Lonchura striata: one gene and its partners. The protein of the gene in region 3 purifies or fractionates together with the protein of the main gene of each other region. This does not show direct contact. Links are inferred from orthologs where the notes say so. Each region holds a gene or a part of one and is shown on either strand. Other genes may lie near its edges. The genes, in order: EDC4, BAG4 and DCP1B.

What was found.
Region 1: the proteins of DCP1B (region 3) and EDC4 purify together in Homo sapiens (affinity purification with mass spectrometry; 3 studies listed by BioGRID and IntAct, with this or other methods). This does not show direct contact. The link is inferred for Lonchura striata from reciprocal best matches to the Homo sapiens genes DCP1B and EDC4.
Region 2: the proteins of DCP1B (region 3) and BAG4 purify together in Homo sapiens (affinity purification with mass spectrometry; 3 studies listed by BioGRID and IntAct, counting the BioPlex papers as one, with this or other methods). This does not show direct contact. The link is inferred for Lonchura striata from reciprocal best matches to the Homo sapiens genes DCP1B and BAG4.

Annotation. Positions count from the first base shown.
Region 1 is NC_134615.1:16,944,139-16,951,725, forward strand, and holds the start of EDC4 (enhancer of mRNA-decapping protein 4), read right to left. Parts: upstream 3,030-7,587; 5' UTR 2,981-3,029; coding exon 2,902-2,980; intron 1-2,901. Other genes in the region: NUTF2 (nuclear transport factor 2), read right to left, coding at 4,061-4,174. UniProt on the Homo sapiens protein: In the process of mRNA degradation, seems to play a role in mRNA decapping. Component of a complex containing DCP2 and DCP1A which functions in decapping of ARE-containing mRNAs. Promotes complex formation between DCP1A and DCP2.
Region 2 is NC_134634.1:4,382,796-4,390,498, reverse strand, and holds the start of BAG4 (BAG family molecular chaperone regulator 4), read right to left. Parts: upstream 3,079-7,703; 5' UTR 3,077-3,078; coding exon 3,029-3,076; intron 1,779-3,028; coding exon 1,539-1,778; intron 831-1,538; coding exon 585-830; intron 226-584; coding exon 1-225. Other genes in the region: U6 snRNA-associated Sm-like protein LSm1, read left to right, coding at 3,284-3,329, 3,496-3,564, 4,037-4,152, 4,676-4,846. UniProt on the Homo sapiens protein: Inhibits the chaperone activity of HSP70/HSC70 by promoting substrate release. Prevents constitutive TNFRSF1A signaling. Negative regulator of PRKN translocation to damaged mitochondria.
Region 3 is NC_134607.1:12,757,718-12,764,792, forward strand, and holds the start of DCP1B (mRNA-decapping enzyme 1B), read right to left. Parts: upstream 3,062-7,075; 5' UTR 3,028-3,061; coding exon 2,893-3,027; intron 1,851-2,892; coding exon 1,810-1,850; intron 1-1,809. UniProt on the Homo sapiens protein: May play a role in the degradation of mRNAs, both in normal mRNA turnover and in nonsense-mediated mRNA decay. May remove the 7-methyl guanine cap structure from mRNA molecules, yielding a 5'-phosphorylated mRNA fragment and 7m-GDP.

The DNA of each region.
Region 1 (7,587 bases), on a different chromosome or scaffold from region 3:
CAACCTTTCTGCCACTGAATAGGCTTCAACAGATCAGGGTGAGTGCTGCTGCCTAAAACACAACTGCAGTTATTAATTTGCCAGAAGGGTATTTTAAGCTTGCCTGTTTATGAAGAGTCATTATGGACACAGGAATGTGCAGTGACAGGGTACACTGATGCAGGGACAATTCGGGCACTTGCCTCAGTGTACCTGCACTGCATGAAGAAAAAGCAGCAGCACTCACACAGCACAAGGAAACTCAAGCAAGGAATGTGATCCAGCACCTCACACTGGTGCTATGCTTGCTGTCAGCATTAAGATCTGCCCCTTATTCCTAGAGCATATGGTGGGTGCTTGTCCAGTTGCAGCTACTTCCACTGACAGCACTTGATCCTTTGTGACCAAAGGCAGGGAAATATTCCCTACAGAAAAAGCATCCCGTCTCTCAGAGAAAGATGATATGTGCTTTGCCCTTTTGCAGCCACAGGACTCTCATGTAAGTACTGCTGCTCTTTTACAGACAGCAGGATAGTGATGTTTGCTCCATGGGAAAAAGGAACGATGAAAACACTCCCCAGAGGCTGATGGGCCCAACAACAGCACACCCAAGTTCAGGAATGGGCACAGCTCAGTCTGTGTTAGTGGAAGCCAGACAAGCATAGGTGCTGCCTGTGCACAATCCTGAAGGCATAAAAGAAGGGAAGAGGCTCTGTTTAGTAAGAACATGAACTAAACCAAAAAGTTAAGCCAGACTGGTAGATAAAGGTCTCAAAGAGAAAGAAAGGTGTATGAATTCATTACCTTTTCAAAGAGCAGGAGCAGTCAGAGCTGAGACACTGAACTCTTCCTGCTCCCACCATCAGCACCAGGAGATGCCAGCATGCACTGAACAGAACACTGCCCTGATGCACCATGAGCAGGGTGAGCCCACATAACACCTGGTTATCAGCAGAGATCTCTTATGGATTGAAGGATCCTGCCCACACCAGCAGGGATGCTCCTCTTCAGCACAATGGCACTGACAGCCTGTCCCCACATCCCAGCAAGCAGGTCCATGCTTTGGCAACAGCTACTGAAGCATTGCAAGAAGTTCGCCAAAACTGGGAGAAACTGTGTCAAGAGAGACAGACTGGGCAGTGGATTACATTTTCACCAAGCCCAGCAGAATTTAAAGGGTATTGTGACAGTTGTGAACTCTTTGGAGCAGGGAGTGTTTCTTGTCACCTGCCTGGACAGGATCTAGAGGAACACAACACTGCTCAGGGCTACCTGCACTTGGTACTGCAAAACTTGAAGGCTCCCCTATTCCTCTCCCCTGGCAGCCTAACAGGAGTTTCAGAGACTTTCAGCTAACATGTGCACTCTTCTTCTTCCCCTTATTATGTGAGTCTTTTCAAGTTTATTTGCTGTTATGCAGGCAGTGATTTCTGCTGAGAATAGCCACAGGTTCCTCCTGTGAACTTCCTGCCCACTTGTTCCTTCTCCTCTCAGATGCCTTCTTGTGCACTGGAGTTGACAGAGAAGGCAAAAAGAGAATGAAGAGGAAAGAAGAATGAAAAAAATAAGCCATATTCTGTCAGTAACTCCTTGACTTCAACCAGCAGGAGAAGCTGCTTCAGAAGAAAGTCAAGTCATCTTGAGCAACAACTCCAACCATTTCTCAACCACAATATATCCTTTCAGTTCAGAAACTGCTTGTGAAACGAGTCTTCCCCATCCCTGCACTGAGTTCTCCTTTCAGTTTTCCAAGTACTGTGCTGCACTACAAATAAAATACGAATTTTTCTTGTAAGAATTAGAATTCAGGACATGTGCTAGCACTCCAGAAACCACAAAAACTACTCCAATTAATGAGAAGTTTCTCTAAGGGTAGTAGAGCTAATGAAGCTGCCTTCCTGTAGGTTTAGCCCATCACTTCAAGGGCCTCTACAGCCCTCCACAACAATCCCACACCCACCCTCTCTTCCTTTTGCCCAAGCAAAAGGCAGCACACATGGCAGATGCTTTGGAGGTAGCATGTTCCCGCTGAGTCTCAGGACATTTTGAAGTTATATTATTCCTGTCCTGCCTTTCTCTTGAAAGGAGCATAAGAGGGGCATAATTCTGTCCTCTACCCAGAGGTTAAGATATTTTTGCACAGCATTCATGTCTCAGCCTCCTTCAGAGTGTTACCTCACCACATTTGACTGAAACACCACAGCAGGTTCAACAAAGGAGATGAGATCGAGAGCCGAAGCTCCAGGGGAGTGGGAACACTAACCAGCTGACTCCTGAGCCTGCTGCTGATACTCTTACAGGCAGAAGGGAGCCCGCTGAACTCTGAGCAGGGAAGTATGATAGTTCCGAGCACAAAAGACTCACAAACACTTCAGAAGAGATATCCGTGATCCCATTTCACGTACAAATAAGGAGAGCGAAAAGTTCGTGTAAAGGAGGAACCTGGCACTGATCTCAGAGCAGCCTACAAGCCTCTTCCACTCGATCCACTCCCAGTGCTCCCGGGAAGGGGGGACACTCGTGTCACGGAGCTCGGTGCGGTTCAGCTCCCAGCAGCAACACCTCCAGCTGAATGGAGCCCCGAGAGCGCCGCAGCAGCGAGCTCTGGGGCCGGGCTGCTCTCGCTCTGCCCAGCGCCAGCAGCCCCTCCCTCAAGCGAGGGTCCCCAGGCCGGGGCTCCCTCCCCTCTCCTCTCCTCACCGCGGGCTCAGCGAGGCAGTGCCGAGCGGGACCCCTGGCCCTGGGCGGGTCGGAGGGCGCTGCCAGGCGCCCCGAGGCGAAGCGGTCCCGGCCGGGCCCCGAGCGCGGCCGCTGACAACCGGCGGGGCGGCGGCGCAACGGCCGAGGGGCTCCCGCGGCCCGGCCGAGACCAGGCCCCGCCCGGCCCGGCCCGGCGGCCTCCCGCGCCCCGCCGCTCCTCACCTCCCGGCCGGTCCAGCTTGAGGATGTCCCGCAGGTGCTGCGTGGCGTCCTCGATGTCGATGCTGGAGCAGGAGGCCATGGGGCCCGGCGCGCCGCCCGCCCGCGCCGCCGCCACCGCGCTGCCCGGCCCGGCCCCGCCGCCCGCGCTTCCGCCTCCGGCCCGGCCCTGCGAGCGCCGGGCGGAAACCGCCGCCCGAACGGAGCGTTCCCGGCGCGGCGGGGCGGGGCCGCGGCGGCCCGGGGCTCCCCCGCCGCCGCCCCGCACACGGCGGCTGCCGCCGGACGGGGAGGCTGCACACAGCGCAGCGCGGAACCGAGCGGAGCTCCAGGCACAGACTGCCCGTGTGCGTTCGCCTGCGGAGGGAACAAAGGTGTCCCGTGGCTTGGAGCGGGCACGGAGACCGACTGCAGGCTACCGCCACTGTACTAGTGGGGAATTTGCATCCGTAAAATACAACAGGTGAGAACGAAGCTGTCGGTGTTAAAAACTGAGCCAGAAGGCTCGGTTACAAAAGCTGCTGAGGAGATGGTGTATGGAGGAGGGCAGACGTGCCCTGCACTCGCTGCTGAAACTGTGAGGCATTGTTCAGCTGGAGCTCCAGCTCTGCAAGCATTCCCCCACCAGACAGACACAATCTACCCCCAGCAAGCACTTATCACACACACTCCACAGCCAACTCATAAAAACAATTTAAACTTTTAAGAAAATCTCTGTTTTATTGTGTAATGTAGCATTGAAACATCTGAACAAATCAATAACTGGGCTGTACAGGCTGCTGTTCTTTCATTTCTTTGGGTTATAGAGCATCTTGTCAGTACATAAACAACAACCTTTTGCATTATAAATTCTTTCCGAGGCATGCTGGTACAACACAAATTTCTCTTATCAAATGCAGCTAAGTCTAACTTCCAAACATCATGCACAAGAAACTCATCTAGTGACAATGTAAACTCAGCAGAAGGGCAGGTCACAAGTCTTGCTTGCTCACGCTCTGCAGTGCTGCAGGTTTGTGTATGATATTTGGAATGTTCCGTGAGTGTGAATAATACCAGTTAAGAGGAGAGGAGGAAAACGGGAAAAAAAAAAAAAAAAAAAAAGAAAGAAAAAATAAAAGAAAAAAGAAAAAAAAAAAAGCCCGGGTGCCTCGGGATGGGCTGCTCAGCCAAAGTTGTGCAGTGCTAGCCTGAACATGTCATTGGTGCAAACCCAGGCATCGTTGATGTTCTTTAATAGAAATATCTGGTGGAATCCCATGATAGGATCTTCATCAGCCTGTAGAAAGAGAGAGGGGGAAAAAAGGTTCAAAACACTAATTTTTTTGATAAGCTTATTCCAAAACTCATGATGAGACAACTTCAAGCTAACATTAATAGTGACATTACATGCTGTAAAATGTGTAGCACCCCAGGAGACACCAACACCACCAGAGGACCTGTTCTGAAGGGCTTTGCAGACAAACACCCAGGGCCCAGAGACATGGAAATGCTGCAACGGCATCTGAAGTTGGGGTTTGGTGGAAGACTTACTGACATGTCACTCACCACACTGATGGAACATGCCTGCCTCAGTGTTGAATCACAAAGCCCTTGCCCAGGAATTAATCTTAAAAGAAAGTGGTGTGATTTTTAACTGCTGAACTTTGGGTTGATGGCAGAAGGGAGTTTCTGTAGAGGTTGGTATCAACATGTTGCCTGGATGATCCAGGTGATCTGGGCTTTGAAAGCCTTGCCAGAGCAGGTGCAGCTGGCCAGAAACACAGCACTTCCCACTTGCAGCAACAGCTGGAAGGGAGCAGAGCATTCACTACAGCTGTGACAACGTGTCCTAAGCACAGGGAATGGCTGCAGCTGTGCCTCCACTCCTGCCTGACAACACATCTGGGTATTTACAACATTACTACAAAACTAGAAAGTAGTATTAGAGGGAGACTAGTAAGTACTTCCACCCAATTTTATTTATCCATAGTTTCAGAGACATCGTGCAGGAATTAAATCCTCAAAATAACATAAATGATTCCCAAATCAATCAGCTGGAAACCACACAACAGGATTTAATCTGAACAGCACACAGGGCCAACTACAATCTTCTGATGGTGGCTGTAGTGTGTTCAATTCAGCATTTCTGGAGGATTTTAAGCTTTATTTTTTCAACACATCACTATTCAGCTTCAGAAAAGGGAGGAAATTTATTTTAAAAAAGGCTTGAAAAGCAGCAGCCAGAGCAGCTCATGAAAGAGGCACTCAAAGCACTGAATGTTCATTGGCAATGCTCTGCTGCTGTTCACTGAGAACAAGTGAAAAGTGAAGAGCAAAGCAGACTACAGAAAGATCAGAAAAGAAACTTTACTTTAAAAAAAGTATTCATGGACAGTGAAACAAGTCAGTTTTGAGGACCAACTTGCAAAGGACATCACTTCTATCACAGGACAGCAGGTGTGCCAGAACATTGGTGGCATCAGGTGCATGGAAAGGAAGCATTCAGATCCATAACCACTGCAAGGATTTCACAGTGACAACCAGCTGGGAAGTTAAGTGGTGTACATGAAGTGCAGTTTCAGTAAGTGTGTGTTAATTCACAGAGTAAACCAAAGTGGGCCCTAGACTGGCCCCTCATGAAAGTGACACTGAAATAATAATTGATATGTATTTATTAAACCAGCTGAGAGCTGTAAAGCTATCAAGGCAAGCACAGGGTTAGCAGTTGTTAGGGAAGAACAAAGAACCAAATCCCAGAAGTAAGCAAATGCATAAATAGGCAAAGAGCACCCACATATCAAAACCTGCATGCGTTTCTTATAAGTTAAAAAATAAAATGCTACAGTAAAGTCATAAAAGGACAAGAAAAATGATCCAGCTAGAGGATGGTTTCCTACTGAAGAAAGTAAATTGAGTAAAACTTTTCAGCTTGCAAAAACATAATGAGAATGGGGAGAATAGACAAGATAAATTACTACAAAATCATGAAGAAGAAAGTGAATGAGGAAACTATTACAGCCAGAAATTAGGAAGGCAACAAGTAAGGCCAGGATTATGTGCAAGCCAGTGTTCAATACATGACTGAGACTGAGAGAATTCTCTGAGAATGAGCGAAAAAATCCTCAAAGCAAGACAGGTGCCAGCAGTCACTGTCCAGCCAACAAACAGGGCAGCTTGTCCCTCAGTACACACCTGCTTTGCATGGGGCAGAAGCTCCCTAGGAACGAGCCCAGTGTGAGCACCAGCAATTCTGCTGGGCTAGACCAGCCATCCATGGCGTGCATCAGCACATCTGCCAGCAGCCATGGCAAGTGTTTCAAAGGAAATATTATCTCTACTGCACGTGCCCAGAACAGAGGCTCACATATCCGTGCTGTAGAGGTGGCCTGTGCACCGAAGCCCATGGGTTTGTGCCTTTTCCAGCTTTTCCTGGGTATCCAGTGTAACCCATCCCAGGAGAGCCTCATCACTGCTTGGGAGTTAGCAGGTTCTCAACTCCCAGTTGTCCTCCTTGTTGCAGATCACCGAGGCATCTATTACAAGTTGCATAAGTACTTTTCACACCAAATTTGAGCTTGTCATTACTGACGTAAATATGCTTTAATAGATACCTCTGGAAAAAAAAAATACCATCACCAGACAAGCTTTACTGTAGGTCTCCTTGATTTCTGATAAGCCTAGGTAGCCTCTGATAAGAGCACTGCAGCTCTTGATGCTTTGGCTTAAGGAGAATTTCCTCCTTTCTTAAGAAATTCAGCGCTGGACACATGAATAAAGACTAAAAGGGAATTCTCCCCAAAACATCTGGTGTGGTACAGACAACAAATTCCAACAATGAAGTCACACATTATTATTTTCTTTATTCCTTTCATGTTATCCCTTCATAGCATAGATGAGCAGTGTACTTTAAAAACAAGGAAAATCCTAGACTACATTCAAGGTGACGTATATACTTTATAGTCCATTCCCCAATTTTGACTATGTAATATTAGCACATAGCAAAGGCTCACAGTTTAGTGACTCAAGATACCACAGAAAACACAGACTAATCCTATTCTGTATTATTTTAGATCTTCATCACAGCTCAGATAACACCACTGAAACTCCCTCTCCTTACTTTTCACTCCAAATTCAGGCATGTCCAACTCAGGATTTGCATTCCACCCCTGTGAGCCCAGGCTCAAAACACAAGGGGCTTTAGTCTTCCTATAAAACTTTCCTTTGTGCAGTTCAAGTTCTTCCATGACATCACTGAATTAAAACAAAAATTAAACAAGTCCCAGAATTAGACTGGAAGAATCTTCTGATTTCCAGGCCAGCCTTTTGCTCAGCATGAGCACAGACTGCAGCAGCTCTGCATCACAGAACCACAGAACACGCTGGTTTGGAACAGAGATGGTAAAAGTCCACAGAAGGACCTTTAGAGATCATCTAATCCAATCATCCTGTCCTGGGCAGGGACATCTTTCAAAGGCCACAGCCTTGTCTAGCAGAGTCTTCAAATTCTCACAGAACAGATGTTTCACAAGATGCTCAGGCACCACTTCCCAGGATTTCAGTCTTCTCACAAAATCTTCTCTTCCCCATCAGTACCTTCCAAGTTATGGTTTCTAACCACTGTCTCTTGTTACACTGTCTGGCTCCACTGAGAAGAGTTTGCTTTCAGCTTGTTGGAAGTACTCAATTACTTTTTACTGACATTTCAAGCAG
Region 2 (7,703 bases), on a different chromosome or scaffold from region 3:
CGTGGCAGGCTGGTCAGCAGGTTTGAAGCCCAGCTCCTGGCTCCTGGCCATGGGCTTGCGAGCAGCGAGGTCATAGAGCTGGGGCTGGGCACTGTACTGCACCCGGGGCTGGCACGGGGCAGGCTTGGCCGCCCTGTGCTCGTTCACTGGCCCCGAGAGCCGCTGGTTGCCATCAGAATAGTAACTGTGCTGGCTGGGGCTTTGCTCAGGTCTGTAGACAGAGTCCTGCAGACAGAGGGAGAAAACATCTCTAAGTGCATTTCCCTTCAACCCGGAGGTTTCCGCTCTCATCCTGCGCCAAACAGCAGACAGGGCTGGGGACGCTGGGGACAGGGACCTGTGCTCTGCTCCCATGTCAGAAAGAGAAAGCCCAGCAAGGGGCACCTGCCCAGAGCAGTCTGAGCCCTGAACCCCCCAACAGGGCTGCTACTGCCAGGCACCAAAAACATGGAGTCACTTAATCCCTGATCCAACCTGGCCTGTCAGACCCATTTCAAGACCCACCCCAGGACATCTTGTCCTTCCAGTACTTTATGGAATTGCAGCCAGGGATTTAAGTCTTCTGCATGCACACAGGACCTCACCTGTCCCTGTGACTCCCAGGTGGGAGGGTGGGAAGCAGCCCCGCTGCTGGTCCAGGATGGGTGTGAATCCGAGACGTAGAGGCTGCCGTGCCCCGAGGCGGGCCAGGCGTAGCGAGGCTGCGCCCCATAGCCAGAGTGGGGGCCCCACGTGTCCTCCAGGGCTCTGGGCTGTGGCACCAGGCCCTGCCCCGTGAGCCCTGTGCTGCTGTCCCCGTATGGATACTGCGGCACTGGCATTCCTGGGGTCTGCACAGACAGGGAAACAGGCGTTACAGAGGGGTCACTGCCAGCCCTGCCCCCTCACACAGCCCTGGGAGCTGGGACGGGCATTGCAGGGGGGTCACTGCCAGCCCTGGGAGCTGGGACAGGCATTGCAGGGGGTCATTGCCAGCCCTGGGAGCTGGGACAGGCATTACAGGGGGTCACTGCCAGCCCTGTCCCCTCACACAGCCCTGGGAGCTGGGACGGGCATTGCAGGGGGTCACTGCCAGCCCTGTCCCCTCACACAGACCTGGACAGGCATTGCAGGGGGGTCACTGCCTGCCCTGGGAGCTGGGACGGGCATTGCAGGGGGGGGTCACTGCCAGCCCTGTCCCCTCACACAGCCCTGGGAGCTGGGACAGGCATTGCAGGGAGATCATTGCCAGCCCTGTCCCCTCACACAGACCTGGACAGGCATTACAGGGGATCACTGCCAGCCCTGTTCCCTCACACAGCCCTGGGAGCTGGATGGAACGGCTGCAGCTCAGGTTGGCTGCCCAATTCCCACTTTCCCAGCCCAAAAGCTGAGGGTTTCCAAAGAACAGGGTGACCACCAGTTTTGGTAAGATTAAAGCAGGCAGGACAAGACACTCCAGAGCCACGGGCACCCCCAGCCCACCAGAGCCTTTTCCCCCTGCACAGCCCCACGACACGTCCCGGGCACCACTCGTGCCGCGCTGGCAGTGCCCTTACCTGTGGCGGGGAGTAGCTGGGGGCCTGCTGCCTGCGGAGGGCCGAGCCCTCGGGGGGACACTCCGGGGGGCCGTAGCTCCAGGCGGGAGCGGGCGACGGGGGCCGGTAGAGGCCCGCGGGCTCCGGGGGGTAGGGGCTGCGCGCGGGCCCCGAGCAGTAGAAGCCCCGTGCCTGCGGCAGGCTGGCGTAGTGCGGGTACGGGGGGCTGTAGGCTCCGTTGGCATAGGGAGAATCCATGGCCTGGGGACAAGGGAAGAGCACAGGGAAGGTGACGGGACATGGACACAGGCAGAGGTGCTCCAGGAACAAGGTCTGGCCCTTCCTGCATTGAACCAGGGGGTTCCTTTGCCCTCAAGTGATCTGCCCCAGTTTTAGGCTTTCCTGGTCTAACCTGGCTGTACCAGGTCTAGCACTAAGCTTAACCAGGTCTTGCTCAGCCGAGCTGGGCTCAGGGGGAGGCGTGCAGCCCCTCACAGTGAGCAGCTCCTGGAGGATTCTATGCCAGTACTGCATCACTGACGGGAGGATGGAAAACTCTCCAGAAAAGTTCATTTCCCTGCTGATTCTCAAACAGACGAGCTCTGCCAGCCAGTGTTCAGCTCCTGGAGCTCCTAGAGCTGCAGCTCATGTGCATCTCTGTACGGAAGGTCTGCACACCCAAGGACATCCGAGGGTTTACCGGGATCCATCCCATGTTGTGTAGGGAACTCGAGTTTCCACCTGACAGCAGAGGGGATGTGAAGCACAGGCTTTCAGGAGCTCGGGGAATGACTCCCTGTACCTTCGGGCAAAGCAGTGTTCTGCCCCTGAGCTGCTTCCAGAGCGCAGGCTGTGCAGCCTGTGTGCCGGGATTTATGGAAGGGCTGGAGAAAAACCAAACCAAACCAAACCAGACCAAAGCACGGCTGGAGGGCAGAGCCTGCCCCGGCCGGGCAAAGCCCTTCTCGCCACACGGAATTTGCACGGCAGCCCGAAACGCAGCTGCCATAAACGCCGCAGGTACGGATCCGGGAATGCCCAGCCCCGTGACCGGGGCCCTCCCGCTCCGCAAAGCGCTCCGGGCCCCGCGTTCCCGGGATCCCCGCACGGCACAGGCGCCCGTGAGGCGGCTCCGCCGGCAGCGCCTCCCCGCGCTGCTCTCCGCCCCGTCACACGCCCGGAGGGCTCCGCGAGAAACCGGCGGGGCGGGGGAGGCTCCCGGGGCCCGCCCTGCGCGCCCGTTATCGGGGCAGGGCCGGGCCGAGCGCTGCCGCCCGCCCCGGGAATTGTGCCGATCCCGGGGCCGAGCCCTCCCGGGGCCGAGCCCTCCCGGTGGCCGAGCCCTCCCGGGGCCGTGCCCTCCCGGTGGCCGTGCCCTCCCGGGGCCGTGCCCTCCCGGGGCCGTGCCCTCCCCGGTGGCCGTGCCCTCCCGGGGCCGAGCCCTCCCCGGTGGCCGTGCCCTCCCGGGGCCGAGCCCTCCCGGGGCCGTGCCCGCCCCTCGCCCCCGTTACCTGCGCGGCCGCCGCGGGCGGGCCCGGCCCGGCCGTGCGGGGCTCCATGGTCGCCGCCAAGGCCACGCCCCCGCGCGCCCCGCGCCCAATCGGCGGCCGCTCCCCGCCCTCGCCGGCCAATCGGCGGCGGCCCCGCGCGCACGGCTGGCGCGGCTTAAAAGGGCAGCGGCGGGTGGGCCCCGCCCGCGCGGGCGGTTCCGGGGCGGCGGCGGCGGCGGCGCATGGCGGCGCTTCCGCTGCGGGCGCGGCGGCACCATGAACTACATGCCCGGCACGGCCAGCCTGATCCAGGACATCGACAGTGAGTGTCCCGGGGCGCCCCGCCCCGTCCCCTCCGTGGCCCGCCGGTGCCTGCCCTGCCCCCGGGTCCTGCCCGCGGTTCCCCGTGCGGCGCCCGGACCCCTCTCCCCGTAGCGGGTCCCGGAGCCGTGGGGCCGTGGCCGACCCGCCGCTCTCCTTTCCCGCAGAGAAGCACCTGGTGCTGCTGCGGGACGGGCGGACGCTCATCGGGTACCTGCGCAGCATCGACCAGTTCGGTACGGCCGGGCCGCGGCAGCGCCGGGGATGGCGAGGAGGAGGAGGGAGCGCTGCTTGCCAGTGGGCTTGTGCTGGGGGTTGAACCCCCCCCTCTGTCCCCTGGACCCCTTCTCCCACACCTGGGAGCTCCCCGTCCCGCCCTTGCATCCAGTGCTGGCGCTCTGGCGTCGCTTTCTGGGGAGAAGCAGCCGGGTGATGTTATGTTCGTCCTCCGGGTGATGTTCATCCTCCGGCCAGCACCCCGAGCTTGCAGCACCACCATCGCCATCATCTTCTGTGCTGCGGGGGCCCGGGTGGGCTCGGAGCCGCGGGGTGGGGACAGTGTCGGTAGCTTCGGTGACCCGGCTCCGGGCAGGCACCGAGCGCCAGGGGAGAGCCAGCGCCGGTGCTGCTCCGGTGGGACGGGGGACACTGCTCGGCCACAGTTCGCCGTGGAACGTCGGTGTTTTTCTCTCTGTCTCGTTGCTGCAGCAAACTTGGTGTTGCACCAGACTGTAGAGCGCATCCACGTGGGCAAGAAGTATGGGGACATCCCCCGGGGCATCTTCGTGGTGAGGGGCGAGAATGTGGTGCTGCTGGGGGAAATTGTAAGTGCTCGGCTCCCGCTGCAGTCTGGGCCCGGGCTGGGGGGTTGTGGTCTGCCTGTCTGTCTGTCAGCTCTGAAATGCGGTTGCTGTTGTGGGCTGGAATCGGAGCCACCTCCAGGGCCAGTTTAGGCTGAGCCAGCACAGAAATGCCAGCCTGCATGGCAGGGCAGCCTCCTGCTGCCGCAGCCCCTCTGGGATGACACCAGAACGAAGAACAACGCAGAGGGAGCTGTGGGGAAGCTCCAGCTTGTGTGGCACTGCTGGAGGCTGTCATGCTGGCTGCCTGTTACCTCCCTGCAGACACCACCTGGGATGGGCTCAGGAGGAGCCGAGCGCTGTTTGCTTTGGGGTGCCCAGGAGCCCCTTGCCAGGGCTGTGCTGGGGATCCCTGCCCACATCCCCAGCCCTCAGGGCGCTTCCAGCACCTCTGTTCTCTGTCAGCCCCACCGCTGGCTGCCGCGGGGGCACAGGTGCCCTGCGGTCCAGGGACGCTGTCAGAGCTGAGGGCTCGTTTCTCCTGCAGGACCTGGAGAAGGAGAGCGACACGCCTCTGCAGCAGGTGTCCATCGAGGAGATCCTGGAGGAGCAGCGGGTGGAACAGCAGGCCAAGCAGGAGTCGGAGAAGCTGAAGGTGCAGGCGCTGAAGGAGAGGGGCCTCTCGGTGCCGCGGGCCGACACGCTGGATGAGTACTGAGGTGCTGCCCTTTCCTGCAAGGAGCGAGGGCTGCTCCAGGACCTGCCTGGGCAGGGACAGACTGCCTTGGAAAGGCAGGTTTCATTTTCAGATTGTATTTTCTGTGGTGCTGGTAACTGCACACAAATCATGCCCTTAGTCTCCTTCTGGAGAAGGAGATGAGGAGGGCCCAGTGCACTGGGAGTGCAAGCATTTGTGTTTGGGAGGCAAATCACTGCTCCTTGGCTTTGTTTGCTTTTTCCTCCTCACGTGACTTTGGGTGAGAGTTTTCCTTGACATGTAAATAAATCCTTGAACCTGACATTGATGGCTTTCCGGTATTCTGGTCCTGGCAGTTCCCCCTCTCTCAGGATGAGCACTCCTCAGGCTAGCTCTTGTCCCCTCTGTGTGCTGTGCAGGGACAGACAGGCCCCCTGGTCCAGCCATGGGCTGGGCTCACTCTGAGAGAACACTGGAGCCCAAGGCAAGATCCTGCTCTGGGCTGGGGAGCAGAACCTGGGTACCCCCGTACCCCAACACAGACCACTCGTACCCCCCAGCTAGGCTGTGCCACTCCCCTGCAGCTGAGCCTGCTAATTACCAGCTGAAAGCACTAATTACCTGCTGGTGAAGAGCTGCTGCACCTGGGACACGGCAGAGCCTGGAGCTCCAGCCCCTCCTGGCCTCGCTGCTGGGGGAGCTGCTGCAGCTGTACCAGGCTGGAGAGTCCTTTGCCCCGTGTGTCCCGGCCCTCCCTGGGGAGGAGAGTCCTTGGCCTCGGGGCTGGCTTTGGGCAGCTGCCAGGCCCCAGGAGCCTCCTGGGTGTGGGCAGGGAAGGGCAAACCTCGGCAGGCACAGTCCCTGTGGAACCTCGGGCAGTGGGAGTTCTTTGGGTGAAGAGTTCCTGCTGGGGGGCAGAGAACAAACAGCTCTGCTTGCTGGGGCTGAGCACAGCTGCCCTGGAGAGCTGACAGCTGTTGTGGCCACTGCTGGCCCCCTCTCACTGGCCCAGGGACCACTTGCTTTGGTGGGAAACATTTCTGCCCCGTTGGGCTTGAGTGGGTGTTGTGGATAGCAAAAGTTTAAACAAAGAAATGCTATTTCTTGTTCTAACAGAATTTAATAAAAGGCATTTATGGAGCTGGCGCCTGTGGCTGGAAAGTCTCTGGCAGGTGGGGATGGCTCTTTGGGGGTGTTTTTGCTGTCCCTGTTTGTTTGGCAGTGTTTTGGGGTGAGGGGGGATCAGGGCAGCGATGCCTGGGGGGAGGCAAGGGCTGCCCAGCCCCGGTGGTGGGGTCCCAGCCCTGCAGCCCAGGGCTTTGGGGGTGTGGGGAGCTGGTGGGGGTCAGGACATGGGCTCACTTTGCTGCTCTTGAGCCCATTATCTTATCAGGGCGTCGGGTCGACCTCTGTGGCACCAGGGGCTGTGGTTTGTCTCTGCTCTCCAAATAGCACCACAGGCAGCCTTGGGATGGGGGGACACCCTGGCCGGGCTGCTGCAGGAGGGACAGGGTCACCCCGACAGCCACCTCTGCTGCAGCCCTGCTGTGGGAACGGGCTGGGAGAGGGGAATGCGCTCGGAGGGGGCTGGGCTGGGCAGGGTGGGGGGTCAGGGCACCCTCAGGGCTCTTGGGTCCCTCAGCCTCCAGGCCCTGGTGCGGCTCCGGTGCCTTTGGTTGGCATCATTGTGGTTTTGTACATTTGTGAACGTTTGTACTTCAAGCCCTATTAGGTGAATGCAAGTGGAGCTGTGTGGTGACTTTGTGCAGGAGCCTGGGGGTGCCTCAGGGGGCTGTGGGGGCTGGGGTGTCCCAGTTAACCAGATCCCCCTGAGGGTTCTGAGTGCTTTTTGGGGTCTGTGTCCTGCTTTGGGGTGTGGCCACCTGCAGCATTTCCTCACCAGCACGGTGTGGCTGTGCCCGTGTCCCCTCCTGAGGGCACAGCTGGGGTCGTGCCCCTCCAGCCCGGAGCCAGAGGGGCGGCTCTGCACGGTTTGTTTTGGTTCTTCTCACAAACAACTGCGTGGCCTTGTGCCGAGGCCGGGAGCGGCGGCTCCATCCGGGAAAACAGCCCTGGATCACTCAGAGCCTGGGGCTCCCCGGGGCTGTGTGTGCCTGCTCCTGGGGCAGGGGACTGCACTGGGATGGGACTGGGAGAGCTGGGGTGGGACTGGGACTGCGAGGGCTGGGGCAGTGCACAGCACTGGGGTGGGACTGGGAGGGCTGGGGCAGTGCACAGCACTGGGGTGTCTCTGGTGGCCCCAAACACCCAGACCTGTCACTGCTCTGCGTGTGCTTGGCCAGAGCTCTGGGCTGGACACTCCTGGCTGAGACTCAGGGGTTCCAAACCCTCCTGGGTCTCCCTCTCCCCATGTGCAGGGAGATGGGAGCAGGTGGGTGAAGCCCAGAGGTGGGGAGAGCTGTGGCATCACCCGGGAATCACACCTGTGGGAGCATGGCTGCAAAGAGGAATTCCCAGTAAAGGTTTTGGAAAGGGATGGTGCAGTTTCTGCCTCCTCCTGATGCCTCCAGCACCTCCCTCTAACCCCACACTGCTGACCTGAGCCTGAGGTATTTTCTGGCACACAGTGGAGGATGGCAGCCCTGACAATACAGAGGAACATCCCGTGGGGCAGCAGGACCCTTCTGGAGGGCAGGTGGGACTCAAATCATCTCAGGAAAGCTGGGGACAGGCTGGGGGAGACAAAGGGCTCCCTGGGGCCGGGCTGCTGGCACAGTGAGGGGGTGACCCCCCCCGGGCCAAGCTGTTGAAATGGGGGAGCAAGGTCAGGCTCCCTGCAGGAGGGTGCAGGGGCTGACGTCAAAGGAAGCAGCTGTAATTCACAGGTTCCTGGGAGTGCTGGTCTCCAAGCCGTAAT
Region 3 (7,075 bases):
GTGAGAAACTGAAACAGGTTACCCCAGAGCAGCTGTGAATCCTCCCCCATCCCTGAATAATCCCTGATAAATGATGAACCTAAACCATGCTACGACTCTAAGCCATTATGCTCATTCATGGAGATTACACTTCAAGTCACTTAGATAAAACTGTTAAACCTGTCATGATCCTGACAGGGGACACTCCTTTCAAACCAAGTTTGTTAAGAAAGGAAAAGATGATGGCTAAACATTTGGGAAAAGTGCCACCTCCACTTAATTGCTGGTGTGTGGATTTTTTTATTAAACCAAAATACAGGAACCTGTGTTACAGGATTGGAGTTAACCAAAAAAATAATCAAAAGGAAATCCTTGACAAGAAGCCTTGTTTGCAAGGATCAATATTTCACTTCAAACAAACAAACAGTCCACTTCCAATGGTGTTCATCCAGTTGGAAGTTTGACTTTTTGACTTCCTCTAATTCACAAAGATGAGCTGGGCAGCAAGTCAGCCCAAGTAAAATGGTAACCATCATTTTACATTGTGACTAAGGTAATGAGAAGAAACAAAGGCGGCACCACTGGTCTCCAAACTGTCTGCTGGCAATGTGCTTTCCACAGGACTTCATAAATGTGTTTGAAGTTACAGAAAATTAAAGTTAAAACTGATGATGAGGGCAATGCATGCTGTTACTCATAGTTGTTCACAACCTGTTCCATACTGCTGCTAAAGTGCAGCCAGGCAGCAACTTGTGCCCTAAATGGAAACCTCCTCAGGCAACAAAAACAACAGTGAAAGATAAATACCAGAATACCAGAAGGACCAGGTTTCATGTTGTCAATTCTTGAGCTTTGAAACCAACATACCAGGAAACACTGCTTCTGTTTTCAGCACACAAGTCACCACATCCACCTAGTGCCAGCACAACAAAGGGCTGCTGCTTTCCTCTTGTGGTGGTAATTTTACAGCATCTGGTCTCCACTTACCCGAGAGCAGCTTAGAAAAACTACTGATGACCACTGCCACCATTGCTGGTACAAGAGAGCTGCAGAGACTGAAACAGCATTCCCACTTCCCACAGAGCTCACAGGCTCTTGGGCCTCTCTGTCACCTCACACACTTCTCAGAACCATCTCTTGCTTTCTCAGCTCTCCTACCAGCTCCTCTTTGATATGAAAGCTGAAAAAGTAACTTTCTGCTTTGGTGTTACACCTCGGCAGCTACTGCAAGAGCTGCCGACTGTGTAACTTCCTGATTTTAACAGCAGTCACAGAGAAATCCTGGGGCACCAACAAGGAGCCCCTAGCACAGGGCTTCACAACAGAACAAACACGTACTAGAACAAATGGTGCAAAAAATGATGCTCTGAAAGCCACCACCAGAGCTCCTGCTAAAAAAAAAAAAAACATGAAAACCATCCAAAATGTTGGATGAAATATGCATGAAAAACAGACACAAGTAGTATGAAAGTTCCCTAATTAGGGGACACAGTATTTCAAAATCTCTGACATTCCCTTCCTTTAAGCAATATAATTATTTCACTTTTTTTTTTTGTTCAGACAAATTTAAATTGAAAATCCTATTGAAAGCATCACAGAAGATTTCTGCAGTTTACCCATACTGACATTTAAATCACATTTGGAAGTGTTATCAAAATACAAGGTCTTGTCTCCTTCAGAGGGTTTTCTTTCCCACATTTGCTTCTGGCAGTTTCAGTTTCTTTTCACCCTTGAACAAAGAGGAGCATTTTATTTCATTCAGCCATGCTCCATCCCAGGCAGCTTTTCCATATCCACAGATTTCACCTGTATATGTCAAAATGTGCTCACCTCGTGTAAACAAACAGCGTTCCCTCCACATCTGTCTTCTCCTGAAGAAAAGGAACATTAAGAAAGTTGAAAACAGGGCAGCGTTTTGGTTACCATCAGTGAGCCCCCTTTTCTGTTTTATCAGTACCATCAGTTACACCTCTCTCACCCAAAACAGGAAAAAATTACTAAACCAAATTTCACGGGTTGGTGGTGAGAGGCTGGAGCTAGCACTGGTCACCACACAGCTGATCCAGGGTTTGAGGTAAGATATGGAAAGGCTGAAGGCACACCACCATGGCACTAAACATTGCACTGGGTTAATTATAGGTTACACCTGAGCACAACACACACTCAAGAGGCAGAGACAGGAGCTTTCAAAGGGCACCTGCCCTCCAGGGTGTTGTTTGGCACAGAAACGGGGGGGAAAACAACACAAAAGGCAGATTGGGCAGGTTCTTCAAACACAGGCCCAAAGTCTCACCCTTACAGCAAACCAAGAACCACTTGCCAACAGCCTAAATGTTCTATTACCTCCAGTTTCACCAAGATAATTACATTTGCACATCTTACAACAATGCTTTTAGCACTGGTAACTCCACCATTCATTTGCACATGTTTGGGTCTCATTATAGGTGTTGGAAAGGCAGAGGAGTTAAACCCCAGCCATGGGTTACACCCCAGTCTTCCATGGCCTTAGGACAAGAAACAGCCCTGAGTTAAACCACAGCCTTCCATGGCCTTGGGAGAAAAACCAGCCCTGGGTTAAACTCCAGCCTCCACAGCCCTGGGTTAACCCCGATCTTCCACGGCCTCGGGCTAAACCCTAGATTAAACCACAGCCCCAGGCTAAACCCTTTTCCAACACAGCTCTAGGTTAAACTCCAGCCTCCACCACCGCACGTGGCGGAACTCCTCCATCCTGCAGCCTCCCAGAGCTGCATCCCCGCGCACCCCGGGGCTCCTCGGCGTGCCCGGGCCAGCTGCCGGGGGCACACCGGGGACACCGGGAGGAGACAGCGGCAGGCCCCTCCCGCTCCCCCACCCTCACACCTCGGCGGCGGGCGGGGCGTGCCGCGGCGGGCGGGGCGGGCACGCACGTACCCACTGGCTGGCGCGGTGGCCGAAGGTGTAGAGCGCCACCTGGCTGGCCACGTCCACGATGCCGCTGATGTAGGGGTCGTGCTGCCGCAGCGCCGCCAGGCTGATGTCCAGCCCCCGGCCCAGCGCCGCCGCCATCTTGCGCCCGCCGCGCAGCCCCCACCAATCCACCGCCGAGCCGCGCCGCCCCGGGAGCAGCCGCCTCAATCGAGCGCCGAGCGGCGGCCGCTCGGGATGGCGGGCGGTGGCGAGGGGCGGGCGGGGACGGCAGGGATGGAGACGCGGGGGCGCTCGGTGTGCCCGCAGCAGCGCAGGGACGCGCCGTCCCACACACGACACCGGCTCGTGGCTCCAGCTCCTCCCCGTCCTCCTGGCAGTGCTGTGGTGCTCCTGCTGCGGATGGGGAGCCTCCATCCCTTAGAGGAGGGGACATGCGGGATCTGCGCCTGTTTAGTCCAGCTTTAGGTCTCTGTAGGAAAGAGAAATCTAAGAGGGATCTGTAAATGTCGCCAAGGCAGGTGCCAAGGAGAAAGTGCCAGACTTCCTGTGCCCAGCGACAGGACGCGGAGCGGCGGGTACAAACTAAAGCCCGAGGAGTTCCACCGCAGCATGTGGAACTTCACACTGAGGATGGCAGGGCACTGAACAGCAGCCCAGGGTGGCCGTGGGGTCTCTCCGGAGACATTCCAAGCCCACCTGGAGCCGTTCCTGTGCCACCTGCTCCCGGTGGCCCTGCCTGGGCAGGGGTCGGGCGGGATGATCCCGAGCAGCTCTGAGTTTGTGGGTGCTCTGGTGTCCCTGCAGAGAGCGGGACCGAGCGTCCAGCCCGTGTGTCAGCGGGGGATCCGTGAGGGGCTCGGGGGTCCAGGAGGGGTTCAGGGGTCCGTGAGGGGGTCGGGGGTCCGTGAGGGGCTCTGCCCGGCCCCAGCCCCCCGGGCCAGGCTCGCATCGCCTAGCACAGCCAGCCCGTGTTTGCTGGCACCCTCATCCACCCCTGCACCCAGCCGAAGGGAGCGGCATTGCAAACTAAACCACCACGCAGCACACAGCCCTCGTGTGCATAAATATACACACAAACACATTCATATATATATATATAGATGTATATATATATATATACACTCCTATGTGTGACAAGCAGTTGAAACCTAAGCAAGCATGCTCTAATATGTAGTTACACAAACACGAGCAACAGATGGACAAGACCAAGGATTCAGTTGCCACCTTTTCCCATCAGACAAACATGCACATGTTTGTTACTAATCTGTTGGTACCGACAGTTTACAGCAAATACATGAGCTTTATGAGGCATGCAGATAAGCTCAGTACATACTTCCATGGAAAAGCTTTGCTTAACCCTCCTGCCTGAACGCTCTGCAAGAGCAAATTCTTTTTACTTCATCACCTCAGACTGATGTAGCCATTCTGGAGACAGTCACCACCTTCCCTGTACAGAAGCAGGAGCGTGATATATTTACTTCCAGAGAACAGGATGCGCTGGAAGAACCAAGGTGACGGTAGTGGATGCTGTCTTAATTGTTTGCAATATTCCTGACACAGCATTTTTGAAAGGACAGGAGCTGAACAGAGAGGATGAGGTCTGCTGTTTTTTCTTCCCTTCTTCTCGCTCCAGGCCAGATGGAGCCGGTGGGATAGAGTGAGCAGTAGAGTCCTTCCAAGAGCACATAGGCAAGTCTAGGTAAAAGATTCATTGTGTGAAGTGAGGATAGAAGAGAATTGAGAGACAGCAAGCTGGGAATTCATAGAATTAAATGTACGGAGAGTGAAGTCTCTTGAGTGGAGTTAGGAGAGGCCATGTTGTCAAAAAGGATAGTTTTTGGGACTTAGGAGAGTTTTATTGTATCTCAGAAGGTCATCAAAAATTGCATCACCAAGAATAAGGACCTACAGCTTGCTCTGCAAGCATCTATTAGGAGAGGAAACATCTGAACATACTCTGGTTATAATCTGTCTCTCTCTCATTTCCTCCTTGTCTAAAGCCACCTTGTTTCATTTGGGGCTGTGATGAAATACAGCTTTAGAGTTTAGAATTCTGTGGGTTTTTTGTGATGCTTGTGGTAGGAAAATGGCTCTAAGCAGTTGCACTGCAAAGCTCTGGCTGACCTACAGATTCTGTAACAGCAAGGAAGACACATGGGCTCGTGGTGGACAAGGAAAAATGCTGTCCTTGGTCTGGACATGACCCAGAGTAGAGAGGAAAAAAAAAAAAAAAAAAAAAAAAAAAAAAAAAAAAAAAAAAAAAAAGTAAGTAGGAAAGATAAGTCAGCTTTTGCTTAAATAATTAAAAGATGAGTATTAGTTTCTTTTTGTTGATTAAATAGTTCTCAATTCACAGTTTCCAGGCACCCTTAAGCAGATTCCTCCTCATGTGCTGGGGGCTTCTTTTTACCATCATCTTCAATTCTTTGGCAATTCTCCTGCTTACACAAAGTCCAAACTTGTCGGCAAGGCTTAGAAGTGTGAAACTGTTGGAGTCTCACTTCTTGACTTTTCCTTTACAGATGCTTTTCCTGTCTCTAACCATAATACTTAAAAAAAGATGCCCTGCTTTTTTACCTTTTTTTTTTTCCTCTTCAAATCTCTTGAAGCTGACTGTCAGATCTTTTGGCTGTGTGTTTCTGTTTGTCACTGCTTTTTACCACCTCCCTCCCAGGTCCCTGTGCCCCTTTCTCACACAGCTGGACAGGCAGTTCCCTAACATTGTGTTTTGAGTCAGTGAAGCTGTCAGGCTTCTGATCAGGCCTTTTTATATTTTCTGTTACACTCTGAGCTACCTTCAGTGGGTTCCAGCTGTTTTCCTGCATAAGTGGAATATAATTGCTCCTTCCATTTAGCCTGAAGTAAATATATTTAATAAAGCCATTAGTTCTGCCCTGCTTTACGGGATCACTTGATAGCAGACTAAAAATTTTCCAATGAAACAAGACTATGTTAAGAAGAGAAACACTGTGAATTCTCTAAAAACTTAAAGATGTTTTAGCAAAAATGTCACAGCTTAAAAACATTGATTACTTAAACTATGCTTCTTTTTCTTACAGTCAGTAATCCAGTAGTTCATGACAACTGCAAAATTGAGTCTGAATGATTTTGCTGTAACTTTGTTTATGAAAAAAAGTAATTTTCTAGCTTTCAAAATGTCATAATTTCATGAAGTATATAATTAGGATGTAACTTTTTTGTCTTTACCTACCTGGATACTGTTCTGTTAAAAAACAGAAACCACATCTTGCTTTTGATATGACATTTTGTGTAGATAATACTCAGGCCGATTTAAGGCAAAATCCCTGCAGCATGACATTTTGAAGGTCTCCTTTAATAACAAATGTTGAGATGGTCATGCCAAACCTTTTCATGAGGGCTTTCCAAGCAGTTATTAAACCTTCGCATTCAAGGATCTGTGACACTTTTAAAGATTCAGGCATGCTTCTTCCAGCAAATTATTGGTGCTGAGCATGTGATTTTCTGTGGATTTATCTGGGGGCACTGCTGAGCATATGCAAGCCCTGCAATCCCAGGCATTCAGTCCTGCCCTTCTGGCACCTTGGTCCGGCCTGGCACAGGTGTGTGCGTGGCCTCAGTATGAACCAGACAAATGGGGGAAATGAACTGTGTGAGAAACAAGTGTTCACAGCCCTGCTGAGCTCACAGCCTCCCCTGGCTGTCTGCCTACCTGCCCACACTTGCTCCTTTCTCTGAGCTTCACCTTTTCTGATAAACAGCAGAAATCACTTGAGCTAATGTAGTGCTGAGCACCTCGTTTGCCTCACTTCCTCTTCTCCAGCCCCTTTGACGCTGTTATTGCATGGTAGTTGCCTTTTCCTTTTTATTCCTTCCCAAAGGCTGCCACAGTTTTCTTCTCACCCTGACTGGTGGCACCACTGCTGCCCCTGCTAGAGGAGAGAGTGCTGAGGCAGCACTCCTAAGTTCCTCTTACTCATCCAGGGCTGCTTAAATGCATTTGTGTGATGCCTTCCAGCATGCTGCTTTCCTGGGAGCAGCAGGTTGCTCTGATGGAGCCAGAATGATCCAGCAAGGCTTGATTACCCATGCTCCACATATTCCTGGGCATGTGCCTTCAGTGCTGCAGCATGGTAACTCTCCCTCTTTGGCAACCAATGCCCTGTGCTTTGTGCTGGAGTCTGGCTGCATCCCTTCCCAGGCACAA